4 linked regions of the Diceros bicornis minor genome follow. The protein of the gene in region 3 purifies or fractionates together with the protein of the main gene of each other region. This does not show direct contact. Links are inferred from orthologs where the notes say so. Each region holds a gene or a part of one and is shown on either strand. Other genes may lie near its edges. The genes, in order: HTRA2, MAP3K14, BIRC2 and BCL10.

Region 1 (7,264 bases), on a different chromosome or scaffold from region 3:
TTCACAGCCAGTTCAGACTCCCCAGGGCTTGGGCCAGACTCTTCTGCCAGCCCGAGAAGCTGAGAGGCCATGGTGGCTGACTGGCAGGACCTACAGAAGGCAGGGCAGTCATTAAGGCCTCATATTTGGTGGCTAACACCATCCTCCCACCTCAGCCCTGATCCCTAACCTGTACCCTCACGTGATAATGTACTGGAGTCCATCTTTCCCAACATTTCTTGCCTGCCAGGAAATAGTGGAGATTTGAGTCTCCAAGTAAGGGAGTATCAAAAGTGAACTATTACCCTGTAGTCAGATAGTAAAAATCCTGTGACTACCACAGGGGTCCTCAGGGGCAGCAGGAATTATATGAGACCTGGTACCCTGTGGGGAGGTCCCCAGGGGAAAAGGCTAAAGAATAAGAGGAGGAGGGGGGCAGGAACCAAGGAACAGGGCCACAAGGACCCTGGATTCAAACCTGCTTGCAGCTCTGAGACGTGTCAGGATGGCAGCCAGTTCTAGACCCACCCAGGCAGTTACCACCAACCCTGACCCGCATGAAGTACAAAGGTAAATTCTGGCTCCACCCTGGGGCTTGGCTCAAACCCTGAACCCTAAAGACTGGTTTTGGGGTGGGGCCATTTGCTCCACCTTATTTAACCTAGTCAGGAGCCTATGGAAAAAGGCTCCAACCACCACACTGAGCATGTGTGAACTTTACAGACACCTGTGTACTGTGCTCGTTAGTGAAAAGCATCCTGGGATTTGCAGTTTTGCAGCTGTTTCTTCACAAATTAGGGCTCAACACCCAAGCTAGGGTCCAGTTGTTCCTGAGTCTTCAGTTCAGTTACAGTTCCTTAATATCACTCATCTCTTGACACGAGGAGGTGATTTCAGACAGTTCCATTCAGACCACTCCCCGACAAACTCATCCCCCCCAACCAATGGAAAAGGAACTTGCTCAGGGGGATTTTGACACCCAGAGAGGCAACAGAGACCTTGAGTGAAAACCCTGAATTTAATGTGATACTGGGGGGAGCCCCATCCCTCCCTTTTTACCACCCACTCATCCGGCCTGTCGTGAGTTGGGTAAGGGCTGCCCCCAGTCTCCGTCCTGCGGCTCTGGGTGCCATCTTGTGCTCAGTCAGCCTCCTGGGCCTGTCTCTCTGTGAATCGCCTACAGGACATAAGAAGACATTGTGTGGACTTTGCCATATTGGCCCCATAATTAGCTCCCTTCTCCAACCTGCCCCTTACTACCCATTGTCCTCTAAGCCCCTCACCTTCTTGCGTATTCATATAGTGCCTGCTTGCGCTCCTGTAGGCTCTCCTGCCGGGCCCAGGAGGACTTGGCAAATGTTAGGGCTGTGGGCTGAGGGGTCACCAGGCCAGAGCTGGGGAACTGAGGTGATCACAATGTCAGAGGGCTTGCGAAGTCATCATCATTAAACACGCATCGAATGCCTACTTTACAAGAGAGGCACTGTGCTAGGGTCTCAGGATCGAAAAAGAGACATCAGGGCTAGGGAGTATTTAGACTGTTCCATCCCACCCCAAGTCTTGGACCTGACCATTTTCTGGGTCTCACCTTGGGGGCTGAGGCTGTGGGAAGCGACTGGGTCTCTTCAGCAATGTCTTCAGGCATGAAAGCTACAGCTCCCTCAAGCAAATTAGTGATAGTCAAGTCTACACAGCCAGTCCTGGCTGGGGAGAAGGGAAGAGAGGAGAGGGGAGTCTGTTTCTCTGCTCACCTTCTCCCCTCACCACCCACTGTTCCTTTCTGTGCCTGTCTTCTTGTGTGAGGCTACCCTTTCCCATACCCAGGTCTCTCTGGATGACACCCAGTGGTACATGGGGTAAAACCTCCTTGACTCTCTGAGCCAGAGCTGCCAGCTGCACATCAGGAGAAGGGCCAGGGGAGGGAGGGAAAGAAGGCTGGGCTGCAAAAAAGAAATCCGAAATATGGTGAGTGGAGAACTAGGAGGAAGGAGAGGCTGACTAGCACAGGAATAGGGGGAAATCACAGTAAGCTAAAAAAACCCAAAAAGCTTTGTGTACAGAGACCACCCACCTGACTGGGGGCGCAATCTGGGGTGTCTTTGTCGCTTCATGTGCTCTGCTTTGTCTGCTGGAGTGAGTCGTGTCCCTGTCTGGCCCAATTCTTTGGCCACCAGCTAGGGAGAATTGGAAGGTTGGAAGTGTCAAGGTTTCAAGCCTTCCTCCCTCACCACCTAAGGAAAGACCCCACCTCCACCCCGCCTGTGTATCCTACCACCTGTTGTACACGGAGGGCAAACTCCTCATTCCCCTCCCCCAGCTGGCGATGAACAGGACGGAGCCACCTGCAAAAAACAATCCAGGAACATCTTGGGGACACCCGGGGTAGAGGCTGTCACCTTCTCCTCACTTTGATACTTTTCATGGAAAAGTGGTGGTGCGAGTGGGGAGATAGTCAATACTTTGTATTGCTTCTATGGTGCAACTTGATATTAAAAGATCTGCAAATGGATGGGGCAGAGGCAACTACTTCCTTGACCTTGAGGTGAGTGTCTCCCAGCCACCATAAAGTGAGGACAGTTAATACCTTACTTGATACACCGTGAAAGGGACGAAAAGCGACCACAGCAATTCTGAGACCCAGGAGGCATCTGACACCGTCTGAGGGGAGGGCATGAAGTGAGGTCTTCATGAAGCCAGGGCCAGGAGTGGGAAACTTCTGCTCCAAGACCCAGAGATTCCCTGTCCAACACGCACTCACCACAGAGACTAGGGGTCTCTGGACTCGCAGGGTAAGAGGTTGTACCACATCCTGGATAGAAAATGGCCAGGAACTAGAAGAGAGAAGAGAGGGTAAGATGGCATTCCAGCCACTCCAGGCAGCAGTTCATACCTGACTTAAAACAGGAACTGTCAAACTGTACAAGTAGATAAATGGAGAATAAAGAATTTCCGGGTAAAGAACTAAAACAGGACAGGAAGGAAATGAACTAGGAATGGAGTGGGTAGGGCTGAAGAAGGTTGTTAAAACCCAAGGGCCCCCAAGCCTGACCACCCACCACCCAGCTGGACACTGCTACCTATGCTCACCCACCTGAAGCGCAGAAGCCCCTCCCGGCCATTGGTAGCCTCTTCCTCGGGAAACAGCAGCAGAGGGGTGGGGGGAAGCCTCGTGGAAGCACAGAATCTCTTGAGTGACTCCACCAACTCCCCCTGCCCATCCACCTCCATGAACCCCCGAGACCAGCACACAAAGCTGGGGGGACTATTGAGTAGAGGCTGGGAACGGGAGAAAAGAAAGCAAAGAGAAAAGAATGTTGGGAAGTGAGAAAAACTGACATATGAAGTAGAGAAGCGGGATTAGGAGTAAGGCTCAGTAGCTTGTGGTCCCCAAGGAAAACCCGGGCGGGCAGAGGGGCAAAGGGGAGCCAAGAGCTGGGCCCCAGAGAACCGCCCCGTGGCGCTCTCGGCTTCGCCCCCCACTCACGGTGCTACAGCTGGTGAGCAGATTGACTACATTGTGATCGAAAGGTGTCACGTGGTTGGAAATGAGGACCCTGACGCGGTGATCCCGGAGTCCAGAGTCCTCCTGCCGGGCCACAAGCCCCAGCACCGCACACATGGTCCGCACCACGAACCTAGGGACACAGGCAGTGGTGACTGCACAGCCTCGGGCCGGACCCAGCCCTGACCCTCCCCGAGCGCCTGGGTCAGCACCTGCGAAGGACGCTCTCTGGTAGTGCGCAGCTGACCAGGAAGACGTGGATCCCAAGAAAGAGGCGCAGGACGAGGAGGCAGAACCCGACAGGAGCGTAGAGCAGCAGCGCGAGGAGCAGGAAGCCGTCACCCGGGAGCCTAGGGGCGAGAAGCGGGGTGACTGGCCGCCGAAGGCCGAGTGGACACGGGAGCCGGCCACTTCCCGCCGGGACTCTTACCGGTGCGAGTCGAAGAGCCGCTCCGGCCCCGGCGCCGGGGGAGGTTCCATCGCTAATACTTTAGGGGTGTCGGGCCCCTTCCACCGCCGCCGCCATCTTCACGCCCCGCCGCAGGGGCTCCTGGGAAGGCGGAGTCTTAGGGCATCGTCCCAGGGTGCCCGGACCCGAAATCCTGAGGCGCCCCGGAAGGGCTAGCGGTCCCAGCATGCCTCGCGGGCCCTCGGGCCACCTCAGAACTTGAGTCCTGCGGGGACCACAATTCCCGACAGTCGCGGGGCGGGGGCGGAGCCGGCCTCCTGGAATCCTGGGTCCCGGCGTGCACTTCTGGAGGACTTCAGGTACCGGCGTGCCCCGCGTCCCGCTGTCCGCCCGCTCGGGTCCAGGGCGCCGCCTCCGTGTAGGGCGGGCGAGGAGGCAGCTGAGGCGGAGCTGATGGCTGCACTGAGGGCGGGGCAGGGTGCAGGCTGGAGCCTACGGGGATGGCGGGCTTTGGGGGGGGTTCGCTGGGGGAAGGGACCCCCGTTGACCCCTGACCTCCGGGCCCTGCTGACGTCAGGTACTCCTGACCCTCGGGCCCGAGTGACTTATGGGACCCCCAGTCTCCGGGCCCGGTTGTCTGTGGGGGTCCCTGAACAACGGACATGTCTGACATCGGGGACTTCAGATTCCCGAGCACAGCTGACTGCGGGAACCCCAGACCCCCGGACGCGGGAGGACTCAGGGACCCCTGGAACCCGTCTGCGCGTGTGGCTGGCGGTGGCGCTGGGCGCCGGGGGGGCAGTGCTCTTGTTGTTGTGGCGCGGGGGTCGGGGTCCTCCGGCCGTCCTCGCCTCGGTCCTCGGCTCGCCGCCCACCTCTCCCCGGAGCCAGTACAACTTCATCGCAGACGTGGTGGAGAAGACGGCACCTGCCGTGGTTTATATCGAGATCTTGGGCCGGTAATGGTGGGGTAGACCAGGAGGCATGGAAGCCGCGGGCTAGAGGGCGGGGGGAGCAGGAGAGGTCCGAGCCCCCTCACATCCGTGCTTTCCCCGCATCCCAGGCACCCTTTCTCTGGCCGCGAAGTCCCTATCTCGAATGGCTCCGGATTCGTGGTGGCTGCCGACGGGCTCATCGTTACCAACGCCCATGTGGTGGCTGATCGGCGCCGAGTCCGTGTGAGGCTGCCTAGCGGCGACACGTATGAGGCAGTGGTCACAGCTGTGGATCCCGTCGCAGACATTGCCACGCTGAGGATTCAGACTAAGGTGGGCGTCCGGCCAGGCCGGGTCTGTTTGGGGCTGTGAATTTGCTCGTATCTCCAGATGACAGCTCTCTTGTACCCATTCTCCCTTAGGAGCCTCTCCCCACACTGCCCCTGGGACGCTCAGCTGATGTCCGGCAAGGGGAGTTTGTTGTTGCCATGGGAAGTCCCTTTGCACTGCAGAACACAATCACATCTGGCATCGTCAGCTCTGCTCAGCGTCCAGCCAGAGACCTGGGCCTCCCCCAAACCAATGTGGAATACATCCAGACTGATGCTGCCATTGATGTGCGTCCTGATGTGACAGAAATGACAAACTAGGTTGGGGGAGAGGAGAGATACTGTGTGGTGTAGGCACCAACTGTGTTTGATGGTGGATAAGGCTATACACAGAGGTTGGGCTGCAAAAAACGTGGCCACTCATTTATGGGCTGGGAAAGGAGAGAATTTGGAGAAAGTGCGGACATCCTGATTATGCCCCCAGGCATAGAGTCCCTGGATCTCTTCCATATTTTCTTCTTGTCCTGCAGTTTGGAAACTCTGGAGGTCCCCTGGTTAACCTGGTGAGTGGGATATCCTTCTTTCCAAGAATCCCTGCCCCAGGTCAGTGTGGAATGGTAGGTTTTCCCTAATTCAATAATGTTTGGTCAAGTTTCTGAGCAGTCTCTTATAGGCTTTCTCCCAGAATCCAACCTGATCTCCCCAATTCCCCAACACTCCCAGCTACGCTTGTTAAGGTACCCCCATCTCCTACTGTTTGTTGGGGTTAGGGAATAGTGGGCTCTGTCCCTGCAGGATGGGGAAGTGATTGGGGTGAATACCATGAAGGTCACAGCTGGGATCTCCTTTGCCATCCCTTCTGATCGCCTGCGAGAGTTTCTGCATCGTGGAGAAAAGAAGAGTGAGTCTGGCTTAGGGGGGAAGGGGCATTCATTGGACCTTACTGGAGAAGGGTTTATTGGGAGGATGGGGAAGGGAAGGAAGGATATAGCTGGGTGGGGCTCATTTGTCCCTCTATCACAGATTCTCATCTTGGAATCAGTGGGTCCCAGCGCCGCTACATTGGGGTGATGATGCTGACCCTGACTCCCAGGTATGAGCTTTAGGGGTAGTGACATGTAGGACCACCAGTATACTCGGTGGTGGGCAGCTGGCATTTCTGTTGAGCTTTGTTTTATTCTATCAATTTTATCTTTATCTAAGATGAGTTGCCTCACATGTGGAGCTATCAGAAGAGCTGTCCTCTCTCATCATCTTGACTTTCTCATCCCACTCCATTTTGCACACTTGCCACCAGATTTATTTTATCTCATTACTGCTTTGACCTTCAATCCATTAACCTGGTGTTTAGGGGCCATTTTCCATTTGTCTCTAATTCAACCTTCCTACGTGAATATACTCTGTTCCAGCCAACCTGATTTCCTACTCCCATGTTTTTATTTATGTTGTTCTTGTTTTTATAGTTAAATGTCAGACCCATCTTTCTAGGCTCAGCTTAAGTTCTACTCCCTCCTTAAAGCTTCTCTTAGGATTCTAGACTGACCTTAGTGCTATTGATTTAACACTGTGTCATTTGGAATTAATTATGTTTTATATACATGTCCTGTTTCCTAACTGCCAGAAGCAGAAAGTGAATTGCCTTTGTATCTGGAGTACCCAGTGCATGCCCTGTCCATACAGCTGTCAGTGTGTTGATGAGAGATTTGAGGTGAATCCAAGATGGGGAGAGTGCCTTGGTGTGGTTAACCAGGTGATCTATGTCCCTTCAGCATCCTTGCTGAGCTACAGCTTCGAGAACCAAGCTTTCCTGATGTTCAGCATGGTGTGCTCATCCATAAAGTCATCCTGGACTCCCCTGCACACCGGTGAGGGAGAGACTGCAGTGGGAGGTGCGGATGGGTGAGGTGTGCATGTGCCTTTGAACTGGGCTGGCTACTCCCTCCTTTCTCTCTTTGTCTGTCTTTCACCATAGGGCTGGTCTACGGCCAGGTGATGTGATCTTGGCTATTGGGGAGCAGCTGGTACAAAATGCTGAAGATATTTATGAAGCTGTTCGAACCCAATCCCAGCTGGCAGTGCGGATCCGGCGGGGACCGGAAACACTGACCTT
Region 2 (7,842 bases), on a different chromosome or scaffold from region 3:
CTCCCGGGCCAATGAGAGATGCTGGCAGGAGACCAGAGGGTAGAAGGTGGAAGGAAAGGAGAATCTTCATCCCTCTTGGTCTTGAGTGGTGTCTGTGGAAGTGGTTGTGTCTTTTCTGTGGTTCCAACTCCTTCCAAGTGACCCTGGCCCCCAGCCACTGATTACACTGCTTCCCCCTCAAGTCCCTCCAACCCAGGGGTAGCAGTGGATTCCCGGCCACCTCGCCCTCTCTGGCTGGGCTTCCCGGCTCTTCCACCCTCCATGTAACCAATTCCTTGCATTAAATTCCAGGTTTAAAAAACTCAGAATGAGTTCTGCTTCCCTGGTTGGGCCTTGCCTGATACAGTAACTCTATCCATCCTCTCATCACTCTCATCACCTGGAATGACTTACGTCCTCATTTGTAGTCACTTATTCAAGGTCTGGCCACCCACTAGACTAGAAGCTCCCTAAGGGTAGGGACTAGTCTGGAGGCTTTGCGCTCCCTCCGCAGGGCCTGATGCAGTAGGCGCTCAGAGCATCATATTTGTCCCTGGCCGCAGATGAGACCTGAGATAAGGTCACTTGACTAGGAGGCAATTAGTGGGTGTCCATGGAGAGAAGGGGTGGTGGGCAGAAACCAGACTGCAAGGGGTACATGCAAGTGGGGAATGAAGCAGACACCAGGAGTACCAAGAAGTTCGGGAGTTGAGAGGGGAAAGAAAGTTGGGTCAACAGTGTAGGAGAAAGCCAGGATAGGGGAAGGGCTTTTGTTTTTTTTTCTTAATTTGTCTGTTTTTAGGCTGGGGAGATGATCACATTAGGAGGTTGAGAGGAAGAAGCTAAACGGGAGAAGTCGAAGGGCAGGAGATGCAGGGACATCGGAGGTGGAACACATGACCTGGGTGGTCTCTTGGGAGGATTACATCCACCAGCAGGGTTGAGGACAGTATGGAGAGGAGACTGGAGGCAGGGACGCGAGTTAGGAGGTGATCACCAATCAGGAAGTGAGAAGAATTTGAATCAAGCCTTAACCCAGGGCTCCCTAAGAAGGCTCCAAAGTTGGGAGAGGTCTCAGAAGGTATGTCCAGGACCTGCTCTGGTAAGGTCGTTTTTGCCAGGGAGACCCCCACCCAGGCAGCTCCGTCCTTTGTGGAGATCAGCACCTCTCCTCCTCACTCACATCACCATGGCACCACCTCTTCTCCAATAGCTCTGTGGTTCCTTGTAGCCCTTTCCATCTCCCTACGTGGGGCACAGAATTGGTCGGGGGCAGTCAGGGTCCAGAATCTAGTAAACGTTTAACAACAAGCTCGGGGGCGGGTAGCCCTGCCTTATACCGTTTGCCAATTTCCACGGTGTAAATACTCCCACCATATCCAGTTTCAAGCTACCAACGTGAGGTCACCAATGGCACAGTAGGAAGAGAGCTCCAGCACATCACTGCCTGCAACCATTCCCTCCCCTGCCTCCATGGCCCCTCCACAGACTCTGGACTGGGCGGAAGCAATGGGGCAGGTCCAAGCCTGGGAGGGCAGCGACAGCACCACAGCTGCAGCCTCAGGCAGACCCCTGATAGGGAAAGTAAAACTGCCTCTCCTCCAGGAACACCCACCCACAGCCCCCAGTCATCTCTGATCTCAGCATCTCATCTGAGTTCTTCTCAAGTATAACTACAGGATCTCACAGAAATCTGGACCTGCGATCCACAGACACTCAGATGATTCACAAGCCACTTTCTCACTAGACGTGGCTGGACATCATGAACTGGGCTGACTAAGGCAATAAAAACCAGAATATAATTTCCTTTCTTCCAAAGCAAACAGAAAAGCAAAAATGATCCAAGGATAGCATTCTCTCACTGATGCACAAAATGCACTCACTCTTCACCACACTTCTACAGAACTGATGGGCAACTGGCTCCTTATGGCCCAAAGTCTCTTTACAGAGTCCTGCACGCAGGAGGGCAGGGGCCCTGGGGTCCGCCTGGTTTGAATCCCAGGTCTTCTATTACAGCAAAGTGACTTTGAGCAAGTTACTTCTCTCTGAGCCTCAGTTTGCTCATCTGTGAAATGGGATGATAAGTAAGAGATACTTACTCTATGGGGTTAGACTGCAAGAGTTCTCAACTGGGGGCAATTTTGGAGACATCTGGCAATGTCTAGAGACATTTTTTGTTGTCACAACTGAGTGCAGGGGCCTAGTTACTGGCGTCTAGTGAGCAGAGGCCAGAATGCTGTTAACCATCCTACAATGCATATGACAGCCCTCCACAACAAATGAATTATCCAACCCAAAATGTCAATAGTGCAAGGTTGAAAAACCCTGGGCTAGAGGGAATATTCAGTGAGGTTATGCACACAAAGCACTTAGAAGTGTCTGATTTACTTTTTGTAAGCTCTCAAAAAACAGAAGCTGCTATTCTTTTTGGAAGAGCACAGTCTAACCCTCCTATTTCCAGACTTGAACCCTTGGGGTGGGATATGGAAATCCTTGAGTGCTGAGAGCCTGGCTCACTGCTCCAGGTGTGAGTCACCCTGTAAATGTCAATTTATTTTATTTAAAACAGAGCTGAGGCTGCACAAATGACTCAGGGCTAGAAGCTTTCCCAGGTTGTCGTGACTTAACTGGCTCGGCTGAGAGGAAGTAATTTTGCCCTGAAGCTCTCCTTCCAGAAGGTGCAAGCATTTTAAGGCTCCACAGTGCTTACTCCAGTGGGTGTTGTGTTGTTTCTCACCTCACCCTACACACAGTGGGGCTTGGAAAGACCTGAGAAAAGCAGCTGAAACTTCGAGGCCCTGCTTGTCCCAAACACCGTCCTCACTAGTGTACGGTGGTTTGTTTCTCCTCTGCAGCCTGATGTGAAATTCCTTCTCACGAGTCACAGTTTTGGGTCAACACAGCCCACTCTCTCCCACTAATACACATCTGTGTTCACGGATGGATTTAAAGACAGATAATCTTGATGGGGGGGGGGCGGCATGGAGGTGAACCAGGACCAGAGAAGTCTCAAGGGAAGCTGGGTAAAGTGTGTGGGCATTGGCTGTCCTAAAGAAGGAATGGTGAGAGAGGGAGAAGGCAAAGGCGAGCCAGGGAGTGTCTGCAGACTCTGGGCCCATGCCCACGACTTTCCTGAGAAGTGGTGTGCCCAGAGGCAAACAGGTGGTGGGAGAGGCTACAGGCTTGCTGATACCGACCTGTAACCCACCATCTGGCCAAGTTCCGCCTCTCCCTGAGTCACTGAAATGAAAAACCCTGGCGTTGGAAGGAGCTTTAGGGTTCACTAGCTTCTTTCTTGCCCACCATCTCCCAAGCCAGCCAGCGGCAGAGCCAGTTTATGCATCAGAGACCATCCAGCTTCAAGCATGCGCACCATGGGGGCCACAACCTCAAATGCTTCAGGGGCCAGACGGACGACATAAGGTTAAGAGGTTGAGTGTAAAACAGGGGTAGGGGCTGTGGGGAACTGCAGGCTCTGCGCTAAGGCATTCAAACTCAGTTTTAAAAAAAACATTGGGCCAGCCAAACAAAACATACCTATGACCTGTGTGAGTGGGTGAGGCCCTTAGGTTGTGAGTTTCCCACCTCTGCCTAAATAAATGGTCTTACCTATCCCCCAACAACGGAGATGTCTGTTGGGTGCAGATCTCCAAAAATAGTTACCAAAAACTGTCTGAAGAGTGATCCTGAGCAGGTGGCCTGGCCTTTGTTCAAACACTGCCAGAGATGAGATGATCCTTACTACTCAAGACAGCCTGGGATGCGACCTGCCTACCCCACCACTGAAACCAGTTACTACACCTGCCTGCCGTGGACCACTGATGAAGGTGTGGTGCCCAGGTACGTGCACATCTTTTATTTTGCCAACCTTTAAAGTTTGGAATTTTTTATTACAAATCAAATACACGCTCACTGTAGAAACGATGGCAAGGGCAGATAAACGAAAGTTAGAAAAGAAAAAATGTCCATACCTCCCCTAACCGCCCAGCCCCCCGCCTCCCATCAGAAAGAAGCACTGTTGACACCTTAGTGCGTATTCAGACTCCAGGTCCTTTTTTTGCATAGGTAAAGCTCTCGTCTTTCCGGCTGTGTAGTACTCGCACCACGTTGCTTCTCCGGCTGTGGGAAGGGGGTGCACCATGCCATCCGCGCGCCTTCTCATCAGACCTCGGTTTCCACACACAGGTGTGACCTGTGTAGGCCTTTGGCTCCCCAAGCTTCTCGAGCAGGCACCAGAACCTGTCTTACTCGTCCTCAGGGACTTTACAGTGCTAGGGACATAGTAAGTGCTCAATAAAGGTGATTCTAACCGTCCCCCCGCCTGCTTACGCCGCCACAGCCTCAGGCAAAGAGGAAGCAGAACCAGACCCTAGAGACAGCGCCTCGCCGTCTCCAAGGTAACCGAAGTTCGAACCTGGGGAGTGCCCACGCATGCGCACACTCGCCCTTCCCTCCCGTAACCTCCAGAAGAACGCAACCCGTAAAAAGACTGCCACAGCCGAGCGCGCATGTGTGGTTACACCTACACTCGGGTCGCCTCCGCCATCTGTCAATCCGTCCGCCCAGCAATCTCTTCCCTATAAACATCGTCCGGAAGTAGTGCCCATTTCTGAAAACGAGACCTCGTTAACCAATCGTTGCTAGGGGCGGTGCGCCGGGTCTAGCCAGGACGCGCTCTCATTGGTTATGTTGGAAGAGTGGGCGGGGCCAAAGGTCGAGGTGCGGCCACAGCAAGGAGGCGCGAAGCGAGGCAAATTTGCAGCCGCCGGGGGAGGCGTGGCCCCGGGGGAGGCCGGGAAGGCAGTGAGGGGGCGGGACCCGAGTCCGGGGCGGGGCGACCGTGGGGCGGGGCGACCGTCGGCCCAGAGAGCAGCGGTCGGCGACCGGCGGCGGGAGATCGCGGGTGAGGGGAGCGCAGCGCTCGCTGGTTGGGGAGATCGGCGCTCGGCCGGTAGGTGACGGGGCGGGACCCCGGGCCCGGAGCGGGGATGGGTCGCCCCTCAGCCCGGGGCCGGGCTGCGGCCTGGCCCGCCGCCCCAGAATGGGGGGTTCGGCGGCGCGGCCGGTCGGACCCACTCGCGCTCGAGCCCTCGGCCCTGGCGGCCGGCAGCCGGCGCGCCCTCACGCACGCTGCCAGGGCCACGGTCGCACGCCGTGCTCGCCGCACCCCCGCAGGCCACACGCTAGCCCGGAGCGCGCGCAGGGGTGCCCTGCTTCCCCTTCCCCGACATCCCCATTCCCCGGCGCTCCCTGCCTCACCAGCAGGCCTGCCTCTCCTGCTCCGGTCCCCGGGTGCCCCCAGGAGGGGGCCTCGTCTCGGCACGGGACGGAAGGTGTCTAGTGCTCAAGTGCGCCCGGTCTGTGCGCTCTCCCACCTGCCCTGGCAGTGAAACCCTCTGGCCTTGCCTGGGAAGTTCTCGGGTCACACCCCGAGGCGGGGAGAAGGAGGAGAGCCTGCCCTTGGCACCCAACGGGGTAGTGCTGGCCACTCGCAGCATCCTCTTCCTTCCCGTGACCCCTCTGGAATTCTTCGGTCCGCTCCACTCAGGACTTGATCTGTCGGCTCAGATATAATATTCCCACCTTGGAAGCCCATCGTGACCCTGGCAGCCTGCAGCCACCCAGCACCAGGGAGAAAGAGGCCACTTGTACAGTGCAGAGAGTCCCACCTGCCTCCTTGATGTTGAGTGACTTCAGAAAAAGCGTTTCCTTCTTGATTGAAGTTAAAGTGTTGCTCTCAGTCCTAAAGGGTGGACTGGGGAATGAGAGTGAGGAGGAGAGGATGAGTGGAGAAAAGATCCAGAAGTTAGTGGTGTAATTGGCAAAATTATTTTTGTTAACTGGAGACGATGAACACCAGTGACTTGATTAGGACTCTAAAAGCAAGTAAAGTTAAAAGATGAGAGGTGGGGCCTAATACAAAATAGCAGTCTGAAGTTTATTCCAGGAAAAATGTTGAAAACCCCTTGACTAGAAACATGGTCTTTCTGAAAGATTAGAAGGAGATAGTGTCTTCACATTAGTGATGTGTTTTTTACTTAGTATCTTCATACCTGTAACCTTTTTCCTTCAGATGTCTGTGTGATGGGATAGATAATATTGTCCTATTTTATAGGTGAGGCACCTGGGGCAGGAGGGGAGAGGGAGGTATATATCTTGCCTAATGCCTCATAGCTAGGACTCAGGATGAGGACTCCAGCCTGGGCCACTGGAGTCTTGTCCAGGCTCCTTCCCCTGGACCAGGACCACATTATGGGACTTAGATGCAGGAAGGAGGGAGAAGTGTTTGGTGTGATATTTATGCTCTTAACATAAGAGGACAGGTGCTTGTCTTGCTTACGATGTGTTTGGACTTACTCTTGGTGTTTTCGAAGTGATGTCAAAGTGAGTTCTTTTGGTGCAGCCATGCCAGACCTCTAAGTTTTTCAGACACCTTTAGGACATCCTCATTTATTTTGAAGGGTGTGGTGAACTTCTCAGAAGGTCTCAAAATAAAAGTAATAGTCTCTGACTTTAATTTTAGAAATACTTGCCCAGGTATACATTCCAGCACTTTTGTGAAATCGGACAGCCATAAGCTGCCAAACTGTAGGTCATTTTCTGACCGTTTTCAGATTATAGGAAGCAGTTCTGAAGGGGGTTTTTTGCCCCTGGTGTTGCCTGTTAGAGTTTGTGGGAGAGGCACCCCAGACAGAGACCCTGCCAAACGAGCCTTCATCTATTAAACAAAAATGTCTGGTTGGCCGTTCCGCCTCAACAGATGGAGGTTTGGTTCCTCATTTTGGTTCTCCTGTTGAACACTGACTCCTTTGTGATCTGCTTGGAGTGTTTGTATATCATTTAATGTTCAGAAGCAGGCTCGCCCTGATTGGTTGGTTGTCTAACTCCAGGCAACTGTTGTGATTTTTTTGGTGGGTGATAACAGTTCATCGTGGCCGAGGTCTGGTGAGAGATCTGTAGAGATGCGAAAGAGGTAAAGCTTCATCCAGGGTTGTTTTCTTCATTGTTGGCATCCTCTTAAGAGTGTCCTGTCACTTTGGCCTGTGAAGCCACTTTTAATTTCCTATTTTTTTCCTGTCTCAATGGATAGCACATGAGCTTTCCTAATGGGCTCCCTGCCTTGATGAAGAGCTGACAGACTCATGGTGGTTGGCTTGACAGATGTTCTTTCTGGGAGGATAGTTAAGAGATCTTAAAACCAAATTCAGTCCTGAATTAAAAGTATAAGTCAGCTCGATACACATATAGGCAGCATATTTGTACCAATGGCTTTTATCATCTCAAAGCTGTTTTTTTTTTTCCTGGCAAAAGGTTAAAATGCAACTAAAATTCTGCTTTCATGATTAATAAGTCACTACCGCAGTTGTGTCTGATGCTTCCTGTTTGCCCCATTTTTGTATTTCAGTTAAACTGGAAACATCTGAGCATTATGGGCACTTTTGATGGCACCAGTGTGAAATTGGCGGGAAGGGGGACAATTCCTGTCAGTGGATTTGGGAAACTCTAAGGATAAGCCAGCCCCTCTGGCCTCTGCACACCCAGATCCTCAGGAAGGGAAAGGAGTGGGGGTTGAGTCTCTTCAAGGGGTGGGTGAGCATTTAAAGTGATGCACGTGTGAAGGCTTTGCATTTACTTGGTGATGCTGACTGAAATGTTGAAAGCAGTAGATTAGAAATGGAAGGCCAAATATAGGGCAAACTGTGTAGTAGAACATTTCAGTTGAGCTGAGCAAGACATTGAAGTATGTCAGATATGGGGTCTTTAGTTCTGGGCTTGTCTTACTACCTGAGTGACAATGCAGAGAAAAGATGTTTTTCCTCAGTGGCCTGTGTGCCCGTCTTTGTATTCTAGTTTAAAAGATCC
Region 3 (7,288 bases):
TGTTGCCATCTAGGTGATATCCCTCTCAAAACAATTTGTTTACCATACTTTTCCTGGTGACCTTCCTATAACTTGCCTCTCTTATCCGGAAGCCCAAAACTTCTTTTCCTTTGTTGGTATTTAAACCCTAAGTTCTAACCACCACTTTGGGTTACTCATCACTGAGGGTTCTCATTTGAACACGTGCAACGCACATATTAATAAACTTCTGTTTGTTTTTCTCTTGATAATCTATCTTTGGCCAGTCTAATTTACAGGACCCCAGCTGGAGAACCTAAGATGGGCAGAGGAAGAGATTTTTCCTCCCCTTCAGTATATACTGACATACGGGAGAAAAAAATTTCTCTCTACCCGTCTGAGTTCTTAGCTGAGATCCCTGTAATAAAAGACAGATTAACGAGAGAAAAACAAACAGAAGTTTAATATGCATACCTCATTTATACGTGGGAGATACCCAAGGAAAGATGAGTAACTCCCTGAGGTGAATTAAGCCACAGGCTTAAATACCATCTTCAGCTAAAGACAAAATCAAGAGTGTGGGGAGGCCAGTTATGGGGAGGTTACCAGGAAAAGCATGGTAAACAGGGTAAAGTTTGTTATGCAGATTTAAGTCAGTGCCTTCTCCATTTGTCACCTCCCACCCCACTTTTGGCCCACCTATCCTGATCTTAGCAACAGTTCTGCTATAAGTCAGGTTAGTGAGAATGCCCCCACCCTTGATATCTGACCAAATTCCTTATCTTCCACCTTTGATATATAAGCCCTCGGCCTATATTCAGCAAGAATCCCCCTGCCCTTGATGTCTCCACTAAGTAATTATACATCCACTGACTCCCCTCATTCTGCTGGTTGGCTATAAATCCTCAGCCATCTTTGATGTATTCAGAGTTGAGCCTGATCTCTTTCCCCTACTGCATGCGATAGTCCTGAATAAAGTCTTCCTTCTGTTGTTCCTTACTTACTGACATTTTAACAAGTGTCAGAATAATTTTTCCTTTAACAATACCACATAACCAATCCTAATATTCTTTTATGCTTAATTTTAAAAAAATATATAAAATGTTACATATGCAATTGATGCATATGAAAAGATTTTCAATCTCATTCATAACAAAGAAATTAAAGCTATGCTGAAATATCCATCTGATAGACTGGCAAAAATCCAAAAGTTTGACAACATACTCACCTGGTGAAGCTGTACAGAAAAAAGGAACTTACATATATTGCTGGCTGGATTGTAAAATGCTAACATTCCCATGGAGCGGGAGGGGTATTTGGCTATATCTAGCAAAATTACATATGAATTTACCATTTGACCTAACAATCCAACTTCTGGGAATATATCCTAAAATAAGATGTATGTCCATGTTTATCATTACATCACTGTTTGTAATAGCAAAATATTGGACACCACCCAGATGTCCATCAATAGGGAAGTAGTTGAATACATTATGGTACTAGTTGAATATATGCTACATCTACACAGTGGAGTACTGTGCAGAAATGAGGAATATCTCTCTATATATACTAGTATTGAGTGATCACCAGAATTTATTATTAAGTGAAAAAAGATGAGAAAAAGAACGCTATCATATATCTAAGAAAAAGGGAGCTATGGATAAACATATATAATTAACTATATTTTTAAAATGAAAAAATGAACCATAAAAAATGTTTAAATCATTACCTACGGAGCAGGAAGGGAGTAGTAAAGGTGAGAACAAGGATTTTTCAGTGCGAAGGGAGAAAGTCACAGATGTACGATCAATGAGGTTAAATAAAACCTTGAATTCCTGAATTTGAATTGGAAGAGTTCATGATGCATTTTTTTTTTTTTTTTTAAAACTTTTTTTTTTTTTTTTTTTTAAAGATTTTATTTATTTTATTTTTTCCCCCCAAAGCCCCAGTGGATATTTGTGCGTCATAGCTGCACATCCTCCTAGTTGCTGTATGTGAGACTCGGCCTCAGGATGAACGGAGAAGTGGTGCCTCGATGCGCACCCGGGATCCGAACCCGGGCCACCAGCATCGCAGCGTGCGCACTTAACCACCAAGCCACGGGGCCGGCCCCATGATGCATTTTATTAGGGAAAAAAAAAAACTACAACAAAACAAGACCATATTACCCAACTCTGTCCATGGAATAGGTTATAAAAACAATACAACTCTAATAATTAGCACCACAAACATTCAGATTATGGTCTTCAGATACTATTTCCCATGAAAGGAAACAGGGCACTTGGAATAAATGGCTTACTACAGGTATGGGGTAAGAAATGTACAAAACCAGCCTGAAAAGCAATCAAAGACTACTAGGGCCATGTTGAAAGGACTCAGGAGCCAATATGAATAAGCTCCCATTGGCCTGAGATTAAACAACTTTGGGCACCGATAATGACAATAACTGTAATGGATTACAACTCACAAGATACGTTTAAATCCTCAGATGATAATGATAGCTGTTCACTTTTTGGGTTTTTATTCACCAGGAATTTTTTTAATAGTTTAAGGTCATGATCTAATTTTATTTTTTATTAGAATAATCAGTTATTTGACATTACTTATTGACTAGTTAATCCTTTTCTCTCTAATACATAATATCAATGTCATATATCAAATTCATATATATATGTCTTTTTTCCGGGTTCTTTAACTTGTCCCTTTGTTTATTTGTCCATCCTTGTGTTAATACAATACTGTCTTAATTACCATGCCTTTATTAAATAACTCGTTATCTGGTGGACAAGTCCCCTCCATCTTATTTATGTTCCTCAAAATTGTCTTGGATCCTATAAATATTTTTTCTACAAAAATGTGAAAAATATTAGGATGGCAACCTAATTCTACACTTGAAATATGAAAAAAATTAATTGAATAGATTTAACGCCAAACTACAAGGTTATACAAGATTAAAAGTTATAAAGTAATATTATACTTGAATGTTATTACATACTTTTTTGGGAAAATGTCTAAGGCCTTTGGGTTTTTGAAATTCGAATTTTCCCCAATACTGAAGTATATTCATTATCTTACTTTTTGGTCAGGACAAGAACTGAAAAAGAGAAATAATCTTGAACTCGGAATGAACAATTCTTGCTATATGTATTTTCCCACATATATAAGGAAGATTCTGTAACTTTCCGAGAAAGAGTGACTTGGACTAAATACTGAACTATCAAAATTCATGTGCATATTTGGAAGTTTTTAGTCATTGGGAGCCATGGCATTTCTTTTCTCTGTATCACAAACTGCTACAAATACTTTCTTTTTATTATTATCATTGGAACAGAAGATCTCCTGTTCTGTGACTGACTGGCAGGCAGAAATGACAGGGACAGGAAATGGGAAATGGTTCAGGGTCTTGGAATTCCCCTGGCTGCCTAATTAAGTGGCTTGTTATTTGGAAGTTTTTGAAATGTTTGTCCCCTGGAGTTCCCCTGCGAGAAGAAAGCATCTGATTTCATTGACAAAGAGTGTCTTCACACAAGTAAATTAAAAAATTCCTTCCCTGCAATACAACAAACACACACTGCACGCCTCTGCATTTCGGCACTACTAAAGAGGAGGGACACAAAACGCCCACAACTAGTAACACCAAGATTTTTTACTTAGAATTTTTCTATCAGTGAACTATTTAAAAATTTCATTGAGAAGTGGGCTCCTCTGTGGTTCACGCACGATTTATGTATACACACGCATATATATGAATGTACACATTCCATTTTAGTCACATTCAGAAAAACCCGGGAGTGAAGCCTGGCCTAAAACACCGTTCATGTTGCTAGCGATGAGTTTTGCAACAAGACACTTTTTCGTTAGTGCATATGTCTCCAGAACAGAAAACCGAAAGTTTAAAAACAATGTTTATAAATAAAAGATACACTGGTTGATTATAAAATAGATATATAATCCTCAAGAGATGATAAAATCAAGCCTTCAAAATTAATCTTCTGACGCTGTTCTACTTTCCAACCACTTGGCTTTTCATTTCCACTGCCGGCTGTGTAATGTTGATGCTACGCAGCTGCGCTCTGAGGCAAAACGGTTACAACTGTTTAAAACGGTTGCAACTGTTTACTTAATTGAAGCAAAAATGCCACCAGGTTGACTTCATCTTCAAGTGCACTCATCTAAGACGAGCGGAGGTGTCACCCCGGAGGAATTTTGCCAGATGCTGGATCATAACTCTGAGGTGACGCGGAGGAAGAGGCGCAAAACCGCCGGCACTGGGGCGTTTCCGCAGGGTTTCCCAAGATTCAAACTCCACGGCTCCCCGTTTGCCACGTCCCCGTCAGGAGAATGTCAGGGACTGAGAGAGAAGGAAACGTTACTCAAACTGCAAGATTAAAAATCGAAACACCGAGATGATGTGGACGCTCGCGCCTCGCCCCGCGGGCTGACCAACTTCCCGCAGGCGGACGCGCCCTCGCTCCCGCTCTCGGACCGCAGACTCCCCGGCGCCCTCGAGCGGCGGTGACGCGGGGCCGGGCCAGGCGCGCTGACGTCACCGTGCGTCTGCGTGGGCCCTGCTTGGGCGGGGGGCTTCGGGAGCGCCGGACCGGAGCCGGCGGGCCTGTCTTCTGTCGGCGCCGTTGCTCTGGGTCTGTGGAGGTCGCCGGGCAGCCGCGCTGTTTCCGTGTTTGCTGCGCCGGCACTGCGGTGAGTGCAGCTCCTTCCGGGCCCGGGCCCGGGCCGCGCGGGGACCCGCTTCCCCGAAGCTGCGGCTGGGCCAGGGAGGGCAGGCCCTGGGCCCCTGGGGCCGGGGGGCGCGGGTCGCGGTGAGCTCTCTCCACTGGCTCTCTCTATTCTCCCCGAGGCTTTTTAATTCGGAAGTTTCAGCTCCAAGACTCGAAGTCGGAGATAAAAATTGACCTGTTTGCACGCCCGCCCTGGCCGCCGCCCACTTTTCGGCCCTTGGACTTTGACCAAGATGTTTTCTCATAGAGGTTTTGCAGGAATTTAATTTAACCCTCGGTGTTCCTTTAATTTAATATGTTGAAACGAAGACAGGTGTGTGGCGGCCACATCTCACGTTTCAGAGTTCGAGCTGTGCTCCGCCACTTCAGGAGTCTGTTGTGTATTGAGAGAAGTAACTCCGGGAAATCAGTGGGTAAATCCCACAGTTTCTCTTCTTTTCCCTTGCAATCTATCCCCCCACCCGGCTACAGTTTGCATGAAGATGGCAGAATCCACAGTACGGTGTTTGTGTATACAAATTTAAAGATATGATATCAAGTCCTGGTGGAACGAAAGCATTTGTGCAGTGGTCACGTTCCCAAGGCCAGTGTTTTTCCCATTGTGCTATGTTTTGTTTTCGAGTTGCTTTCTGTGGTTGTGGCTTGGGAGTTGTAGAGTTTAAGGGTTTATATTAATGAGTTTCTGATGCATTTTACGCTTACTGGTCAGTTTGCCTAGTCCTGGAAAGATGTGACTTTCAAAAATAACATCACTGTCTAATTATTGCTGTACTGTTGCTGATGGGATGTAGTCTCTCTTTTTCACCGCTGTCCCCTTTTGCTATTAGCAAACTGCCAGAGATATCATCTTTAAACCGTTAAAAGTTGTCACCAGAAAAGGGGAGGAGACCAAGGACAAAATACTTTCCTCTTTGGAAATGTCCATCTGTCTTCAAAGTTGTACGTTTAAAAAAAAATGTATAGTTAGTGCTAAGGGGGGTATATGGCATTTATTTGAATTAAGAGCTTTTCCATTTAGAAAGTTTTGGAGACAAATTGCTGGAATTAAGATGTGGTATTATCTAAAGTGTAAATCATTTTTAAGACTTCACTGAATAAATTGAAGAGTGTGTAAGTTCTATTTAACATGAAGATAGTTTTCTAAAATAGCTTTTGTTTTTTCTTTTCAGATTTACAGCTCTGAAGAGTCTACTTTTTCCCCCTCTTTTTTCCCCCTGCAGTAATAAATCCCGTTATGGAGACCCAGAAACTTTATAAAGGGATATAGTTTGAATTCTGTGGAGTGTAATTTTGTGTATGAATAGGGTTTTCAGAAAGAATGCTACTAGGGATAATTACTGGTACATTTTGCAGAAGCAGTAATTCTCTTGGTAGTGCAATATTTTGTTAGGCATTTGTATTAACACTAAAAAGGACAAGCTGTATCTTGATAAATTGATTTATCTTTAATTACAAAATGAGTGTATAATAGATGCATGACCTTAAGTGAAAGACAGATGATTTAATTTTTAAATGGAGTGTAAAAAGTTTCAGCTGTGGCAATTTTATGGTTAACTAGTTAAGTTTATGGAGAAAATACTTTCAGTTGATCAAGTGTAATAAAGTGATATGCAGTTAGGAAGAAAGGCAACATAATGATGCTGCAGGAAATGGAAACAAATATAGACAATATTTAACAAAGATGGAAGATTTAGCAGTTTGTGGGCTTTAAGCAAAATTAATTTCATTTGATATCATACACACTATAATGAGCATAAGTTCAATAAAGCTTGTGGGTGTTGACGTCCCCAAAAGTTGTTAGCTGAAGCTAATATAACCCACTTAAGTAAATACTATGATGATAAGCTATGTGAAATTAGCCTTTCGATAATGTGACCATACAAAGACTTTAGTTCTTGTTTACTAGAATAAAACAAGGTTTTTTTTATATATCATATTAAAGTACTTGTAGGGAAAGAATCTTGAATATAGATTTTTCCTCTTGTAGCATAATTAGTAATTGGCTTGACATCTAGGCTTTGTAGGCTGTAATCAGAAGCAAATTAAAGGTATAACTTAGGTATTCTACAGTTGTTTAGAATTTTGGGAATATAAACCCACTTGAAAAATCAAGGAGTTTTAACTTATTTTTAGAAGTATATCAACTTAATTCAGGCCATTAGGTTAGTATTGCACCAAATAAGAAGCACATAACACTTAAGTTACCTAAAAGAGTTAATATAATCCCAAAGAGTACTAAATAGTATCTTGGTAATTGAGGGGAGAGATTCATCCTACCTGAGTGTAAACTCAGGTGTAAGTCCAGTAAAGAAGGTTTAGTGAGTTTTACATAAGTAGGAGCTTATTTGATTCTTTATGGTAAAAATCTAGTGTGAAGAGATGAGAAATTTCATGTGAAGGTTTTTAGCCATTCAAAAGTAAAATCACTCATGCACAAAACTACCTCCCAAAGACTTGTCCCAGGTCCCTCGTATCAAAAAATTAAGAGTATAATGGAAGATAGCACGGTCTTATCAAGTTGGACAGTCGGCAACAAACAGAAAATGAAATATGACTTTTCATGTGAACTCTACAGAATGTCTACGTATTCA
Region 4 (7,246 bases), on a different chromosome or scaffold from region 3:
TTTACAGGAAATTTACCATTCACAATTACTTGGAATAGAATTCATTGCTCAATACAATGCTTGGTATCTGGCAGGAAGTTTTAAATAAATCATTAAACAGCAGTTAAAGCGCCACCTATTAAAATCCCCCAGCCCAGTTTAAATACACCTCTTTCATGTCGGCTTATCAGTCAGAAATGGTTTCCTCTTTCCTCCCTCTGCATTCCTCTAATAGCTATCTTTACTGAATGCTTATTAATTGTTCCCAGGTCATACAGCTAATAACTGGCAAATCTAGACTCCAACTGTACCGAGTTGAATAGTGTCTTCCCAAAATTCACGTCCACTGGAACCTTGCAATGTGACCTTATTTGAAAATAGTGTCTTTACAGAGGTAATCAAGTTAAGATAAGGTCATACTGGATTAGAGCGGGCCCTAAACCCAATAATTAGTGTCCTTATAAGAAGAAGGAAATTTGGAGACAGAGACATGGGAGGAACGCAGAAAAGAAGGCCGGGTGGAGAGGGAGGCAGAGATGGGAGTTATGCTGCGCCAGCCAAGGAATGCCGAGGAGTGCTGGCAGCCACCAGAAGCTAGGAAGAGGCAAGGAAAGATCTTCCCTAGAGCCTTCAGAGAGAGCACGGCCCTGCCAATTTTGGACTTCCAGCCTCCAGAACTGTGAGAATAAATTTCTCTTGTTTTAAGCCACCCAGTTTGTGGTAATTTGTTACGGCAGCCGTGGGAAACTAATACACCAGCCTAGGTCTGTCAGATGCCGAACGTCCTCATTCTTAGCCACTATGATATGCTGCCTTATGTTTGTAGCACCTTAACTGTATCCTTCACAGCATATTTATCAGATGCCTCATATTTCACCGTAGGAGGGAGATGGTGCACCTAGAAGTCGAGGTGGGGACGGAGGTGGGGGGAGGGAGAATTATTGCAAGGTAGAGAATGGGCAGGGCTATTTTCTTGAAAATATGCCCAACCTTCATTACAGTCTGACCCTGTGATTTAGCAGAGAAGGGGAAATGAGTTTGCTTATGAAGGAAGTACGATGCGCTAGAAAGAAAGCAGGATTGGGAACTGCAAGGCCTACCAGGAACTAGCTCTCTGATTAGGTACGTGGCATTCAGATATCGCTACTTTGATACAGATAGTTTGACTTGGAAACATTGAGACATGGCCTTAAAAATGAAATATTAAACTTTCAGCTTTAAAAATTCCTAAGCTCCTCACCAGTCCCACCCAATCCCTGATCCTCATTCCATAACTCCTACTTCTGACACATAGCAGACATTTAACTTTTTAGTTGAATAAATAAATAAGGGAATGAATGTTGAGGATGCAAGAAGGCTGGAGGTATCAGTAATGAAATGATGGTCAACAACAAGGAAATAGTCAGATGTATAGCAAGGGTAATGAAAGAAGGCTCAAGAATCAGAGATGTCTCCCATTAATATTTGGTAATCAAAAGCCATAGCAGAAGCAAATGTGGCAAAGTATCAATATTTGTTAAATCTTGGTAATGAACAGAGGTTGTTTGTAATATTATTTTTTCCTTAGAGTTTAGTGTGTTTGAAATGTTTTGTTTAAAAAAGAACAATAATAGGGGCCGGCCCCGTGGCTTATCGATTAAGTGCACGTTCTCTGCTACTGGCAGCCCGGATTAGGATCCTGGGTGCGCACCAACACATCACGTGTCCAGCCATGCTGAGGCAGCGTCCCACATACAGCAACTAGAAGGATGTGCAACTATGACATACAACTATCTACTGGGGCTTTGGGGAGAAAAAGGGGGAAAAAAAAGGAGGAGGATTGGCAATAGATGTTAGCTCAAGGCTGATCTTCCTCACAAAAAAAAAAAAGAACAACAATAGAACAGCAACCTCATAATGGCTGGATCAAAACGGGTGTGTCAAATTGGCATCATTCAAATCACTTTGCTCTGATGGGTTCTGAATCCCCTCCTTCACCAGCAGAGCTGGTATGGTTATGGCAAAACAGTTCATTCCCACACTCGGATGGACCAACACTTTGGAGACAACCCATGGAAATATACATGAAGAGACAGAAAATCATCATTTCCTTGTGCTCTGTATTCCTGCTTCTGGGAATTTATGCAAAACAAATGATAATTCAAAAGAAAAAAGAATGAGGAATATGTAGAGGAAAAAAATTTTTATAACAATGAAAAATTGGGAATAACTTAAGGTAACTATGGGAGAGTGCTCACCACTGCTCCCACCCCTGTCACAATCATGCCACCCTCACCTTTGCCTGGATCTCTGTGGTAGTCTCCAGCTGCTCTCTGCTTCCGCCCTTACACCTACAGTCTGCTCTCTACTCAGCAGACAGAGTAATCCTTTTAAAAGGAAATGAAATCACTTCCCCACTTCTCTTCAAAATTTTCTCACTACCCTCACTGCTACCAACCCTGGTCTGAGCCACCACCTTTGGGGCTGGATTATGGCATAGCTCCCTAACTGGTCTCCCCTTTTCCATCCTCCTTCCCCTCAAGGCAACAGTGAAAGTACTCCTTTTCAAATCATAAATCGGATCATGTCACTCCTCTCTGCTCAGAACCCTCCAGTGGCTTCCCATCTGACTCAGAGTAAGCCAATATGACTCAGAGCAAAGTCAGAGTAATTTTTACAGTGGCACACAAGGACCTCATCTCCTTCCCAGTCACAATGGATGCTTTTCATTGGCTCTTCTGTCTACTCATATGTTCTTTCTCCCTATGTCCACATGGCTCATTCCCTCATTTCCATCAAGTAGTAACTCAAATCTCCCCTCTTCAGTGAGGTCTTCATTAACCAGCATATTTTAAATTTTACCACTTCATACAGCCTCATCCTACTTCCCTGAATTATATTTCCTTTTAGCATTTATCATCTTCTAACATAACAAATAATTTACACTACATTTTTCAAATATCTATCTGCCCTGTCCCAAACACAAAGACACCAGAATTTAAACTCCAGAAGGAAAGGGATTTTTATCTGTTTTGTTCACAGCTGTTTCCCCTAGAACAGAGTCTGGCATATAGTTGACATTCAATAACTATTTGTGAAATGAAAGAACAAATGATTAAGTAAATTGGGTTGTACCAAAAGGATGGAAGATTAAGCAATCAGAAAAAATGTGGCATATCAAGGTGGAAAAAAATATATGATGCAATGTTAGTGTTAAAAGCAGAATTCCTGTGTTGTGATCAAAACTTCATTGGTGTGGCTTTTGCAACACTGTTCTTTTCTGATTCTCTTGGTTTCCCTTCCCTTAAATGCTGGGGTTCCCAAGTTTGTCTTTGGTCCTCTTGTCATTTTTATCTACCTTGTAGCTTCAAATACCATCTCGGTTATTTTGCATGTTGTCCAAACAACAGTTGGGCCAGGGCTCTGTTCAAGCTTCTCACCCACATTTACTCATGTTGCTTTGCATACACCTCTGTTAGAATACCATTCTGGGAATAATTGTCTGTCCTTCAGTCTCCCCCAACAAAATGGGAGAACTCTTACAGGATAAGATGCCTAGAACATATTCATAAGGACTCCATAAATGTTTGAGTAAGACAAGATAATAAATAATAAATTGATTGCATACTGTGTGCCAAGTACCTCTAAGAACCTTACATATACATATTTAATTCTCACAGCAGCTCTATGAGGTAGATATATCATTACACAGATGAATAAACAAGGAAATATGTATGTTTACAATCAACAGTGACCAAAAAGTATGCAGACGCTAAACTAGGTGTTAAAGCGGTGGGATTGTAGGTGCTTTTTCAAAGTTTCTGTAATGTAGTTAGGCTGTGTATTTGTGGGGGGGGTGTGTGTGTGTGTGTGCGCGCGCGCGCGTGCATGACCAAATAATTTAAAAACTTGTGTGGGCAAACACAGCAACAGGAAATTGGAGGGCAGGGTCTGGGAAAAGAGGAGGAACTCAAAGGTGCAGACAAGCCGAGACCGGACTGCACCAGCGAGCAGTCTGCGAAGGCGGGGAGTGCCGGTGGCGGAGCAGCGACCGGTCCCACCCACGGAAATAATTCCTTTCGGAGACGCCAACCCGCGGCCACATGCAAACGACCTGGAGGCTGTGGGCGGAGCCACTCCCGAAAGACTCTGGCCGGGGGGCGGGGAAAGTCTGGGCCCGCGGGCTCGCCCCGATTCGCTGCCGCAGAGATGGGGCGGGCTCTGCTGGTGGCCCCGCCCCACCGAGGGGCGGTGCCTGCGCCTGAGGCTCTAGCGCGGAGGTGGAGCGCTGCTCAAGCGCCGCGTCGGGACGCGTAGGTCTGCAGCGTCGTCGGCCTAAAGGGCAGAGCCGGAAGCGCCACGGTTTGACCCACGGATCCCCTCTGTCTTCGAAGGGGCAGCCCTCTTCCTCTGGGCTTTCTCCACCTCCCCGTCTCCCCGCTCATCCGGAGGCCGAAGCCCCCAGCCTGGGCGGGGCGGCGCAGCCCGAGCTCCGCGACCCGGAAGAAGCGCCATCTGCCGCCTCCGCCATGGAGCCCACCGCGCCGTCCCTCACCGAGGAGGACCTCACTGAAGTGAAGAAGGACGTGAGTAGCACAACCTTGCCCAGGCGCCGCGGCGGGCGGGCGCGGGGGGGTGGGCTGCAGCCCCGCGGACCAGGAGAGCGGAAACCCGGAGTCCGAGTCCGAGACGGACGAGGAGCCTGCGGGTCGGAGGAGCGGAAGGTCCAGGCGTCGCGGGACCGCAGCGAGCCCTGCATACGAGGGACCTTGGTGGAAGTGATCCCCCGGTGACCTGTTAATCGACGTTTTAAATCACTCCATGCAGGGCCAGGGTTTCTGAAACCTCGCTCAGTGGAGCGCTTCTTCGCAGCCAGCTCCTCGCCCACTCCTCGCCCGTGCCCTGGTGATTTTCCCCCGCTGCGCCTTGGAGCTGCGTTGTTAGGGATCGACGGCTCGGGTTCATCCTTGAGTCTGATTTCCTTTGCTGCTGGCTCAACCTGGAGCAAAAGCCGGACCAATAAAAAGATCCTAAGCAGTGGAGGAAATATGTGAAACTTTTTGCAAAGGGGGTTGGGGGAAGCTCAACAGCTGAAAGCACAACCTGGAATTCCCCTAGTAAGCAAACGCCCACATATTTAAATTGAGGGGGGGGCATGAATACAAGTAGCCGAGAGTTAATTTAGAAGTAAGCGTTGAAAATATTCAGAAGCTAAATTATGGTCTTCTGCTTAGATACTGCAGAAATGCACAAATCTTAGTATTCTTAAAGAATGGCTTTGTTGCAGTATGACTTGTTTCTCTTTTTCCTTTGCTTTTAGTTACTTGTTTTGCCATATAAGACCTATATGAGTACCACTAAACTACTTCATATTAATTGAAATTAAAAGTAGAAATTCAACAAGAAGTGTGTTCTGGCTTAACACTGTGGTACTTTTACAAAATCACCTTTGTGAACTGGACGAGACAACTGCTTTTTAAATGTTCATTTACTTCAAGTCTCTCCCATTTCCCTCCCCTGTAAGATTTATTACACTGTACTCATCATTACAGTTGGTATGACTCATTAGCAGAAGGAAACTAGATATGACTGGGACCTGTGCCTTAGTTTCCTCATTCAGCAGATATTTATGGAGCACTTACCATATGGAAAGTACTGTTCTTGGGCCTGGAAAGATACAAAAAATGACCATCAAGCCTCTGCTTTACATTCTAGTTGAGATAAGACTGGGACATTGATAACAACTATAGAATAAATGAGTGTTGTCTTATTCAAGATTTGTGCCAGTAAAACCATGAACTTCGAGAGCTAGGCCTGCTATGTTCCAGATGCTGTGTCACACAATTTACAATGTTCCCATTTAAACTTTACAGCAGCCTCTAATAATTGTCATTCCCATTTTACAGCTGGTAAAACAGGCAGTGAAAGGTTACAAGTGGGAGGATATACCAACAGAGATGTGAACAGTGGCTTCCAGGCCTTTATTTTTTTCTATCAGTTCATTGATATTATCCATCTCCATGACTTCAATTTATACAGCTCTATCAGAAATTCATAACCTTGGGGAATCATGGATGGTTTATGACCTTAGAAGATTTTAAATTTAATATCTACGTATTTGGACTTCCTTCTCTCTCAACTCTAGGCACTTATTTCCAAATATCTACTGGAAATCCACTTTTATATTCTTGAGAGCCCTCACTTGGTCTAAAATTAAACTTTTTATCATCCCTCCCCCAAGGCTCTTGCAGTTGCTGCTGTATTCTCTGTCTTAATGAATAGTATACCACCACATGTCCTGGAAACTCCCACTTCTTCACCGTACTCCTCCTCCTCACCTGCCCCATCTAGTTGTTTATTTACATCATTATTTTGATTGAATTTAGTTCAGTTTCATAAATATGAATTACATGCTGCTGTGAGGCTGATACTGTAGTTGATTTTAATAGTTCAAAAATTAAAAACTAAGAGAGAATCCTAGTTTGAGAAGAGCTCAATTTCCTGCGGGGGCGTGGCGCAGGAAGAGAGAAGTAAAATGGTAATTACAAATCACAAAATAAGTGCAATCAATTTTACATCCATCTGAAACACTGTCTAGTTGACACTCTGCTAAGTGCGAGGTATACAGAACAAAACATACCTGATTCTTGCCTGCTTCAAATATAGATCATTAGGGTTGAAAACAAATAAATGTATAATTACAAGTTATAGAAAGTACTATGAAGGAGACAAACAAGTATTGAGAGAATAATAGAGGAAATCTACTTGAGATAGGATGGTCAGGGAAGCTTACGTTTAAACTGGTTCCTGAAGAATGTGACGGAACTGGAGAAAGAGCATTCTGGGCAGAATAGAATTTGCAAAGGACCTGAAACAGGTAAAGCCTTGATGACTTGGGGAAATTGGAAAAAGGCATAGGGTGCCCTGAGGTGAAGTTAGGAAGATGGACTAGAGCCGGGTCATGAAGGGTCTTACAGATGGTGGTAAAGTGCTCGTTTTTTTTCCTCAAGTGTAGTGGGGACCTATTGAAGATTGATGTTACATTTTTTTAAAGATCCCTCTGTCTGTTGTATGGACTGAGGAGAGCAAAAGTGAGAAGAGGGAAGCCAGTGAGGAGACTCTTGGAATTGATGTAATTGAGAGATGATGGTGATTTAGATTAGGGTGAGGGCGGTGGAAATAGTTGGAACGGGAGAACCCCAGATGCATTTTTGAAATAGAAATGATAGGACTTGGTGATGGATTGAGTATGGGAGTTGAGGAAGAGAGTGGAATCAGATTAGTAAGT

The links.
Region 1: the proteins of BIRC2 (region 3) and HTRA2 purify together in Homo sapiens (affinity purification with mass spectrometry; 4 studies listed by BioGRID and IntAct, counting the BioPlex papers as one, with this or other methods). This does not show direct contact. The link is inferred for Diceros bicornis minor from reciprocal best matches to the Homo sapiens genes BIRC2 and HTRA2.
Region 2: the proteins of BIRC2 (region 3) and MAP3K14 purify together in Homo sapiens (affinity purification with western blotting; 3 studies listed by BioGRID and IntAct, with this or other methods). This does not show direct contact. The link is inferred for Diceros bicornis minor from reciprocal best matches to the Homo sapiens genes BIRC2 and MAP3K14.
Region 4: the proteins of BIRC2 (region 3) and BCL10 purify together in Homo sapiens (affinity purification with western blotting; 3 studies listed by BioGRID and IntAct, with this or other methods). This does not show direct contact. The link is inferred for Diceros bicornis minor from reciprocal best matches to the Homo sapiens genes BIRC2 and BCL10.

The regions. Positions count from the first base shown.
Region 1 is NC_080751.1:14,486,800-14,494,063, reverse strand, and holds the start of HTRA2 (serine protease HTRA2, mitochondrial), read left to right. Parts: upstream 1-4,255; 5' UTR 4,256-4,343; coding exon 4,344-4,849; intron 4,850-4,953; coding exon 4,954-5,158; intron 5,159-5,247; coding exon 5,248-5,442; intron 5,443-5,684; coding exon 5,685-5,771; intron 5,772-5,949; coding exon 5,950-6,055; intron 6,056-6,177; coding exon 6,178-6,247; intron 6,248-6,923; coding exon 6,924-7,019; intron 7,020-7,126; coding exon 7,127-7,264. Other genes in the region: ATP-dependent RNA helicase DQX1, read right to left, coding at 1-71; lipid droplet-regulating VLDL assembly factor AUP1, read right to left, coding at 1,120-1,156, 1,263-1,381, 1,568-1,683, 1,800-1,919, 2,051-2,153, 2,252-2,321, 2,564-2,637, 2,738-2,810 and 4 more.
Region 2 is NC_080757.1:43,655,549-43,663,390, reverse strand, and holds the start of MAP3K14 (mitogen-activated protein kinase kinase kinase 14), read left to right. Parts: upstream 1-4,840; 5' UTR 4,841-4,930; intron 4,931-7,842.
Region 3 is NC_080746.1:32,615,337-32,622,624, reverse strand, and holds the start of BIRC2 (baculoviral IAP repeat-containing protein 2), read left to right. Parts: upstream 1-4,271; 5' UTR 4,272-4,659; intron 4,660-5,866; 5' UTR 5,867-7,126; coding exon 7,127-7,288. UniProt on the Homo sapiens protein: Multi-functional protein which regulates not only caspases and apoptosis, but also modulates inflammatory signaling and immunity, mitogenic kinase signaling, and cell proliferation, as well as cell invasion and metastasis.
Region 4 is NC_080743.1:21,671,974-21,679,219, reverse strand, and holds the start of BCL10 (B-cell lymphoma/leukemia 10), read left to right. Parts: upstream 1-4,230; 5' UTR 4,231-4,487; coding exon 4,488-4,544; intron 4,545-7,246. UniProt on the Homo sapiens protein: Plays a key role in both adaptive and innate immune signaling by bridging CARD domain-containing proteins to immune activation.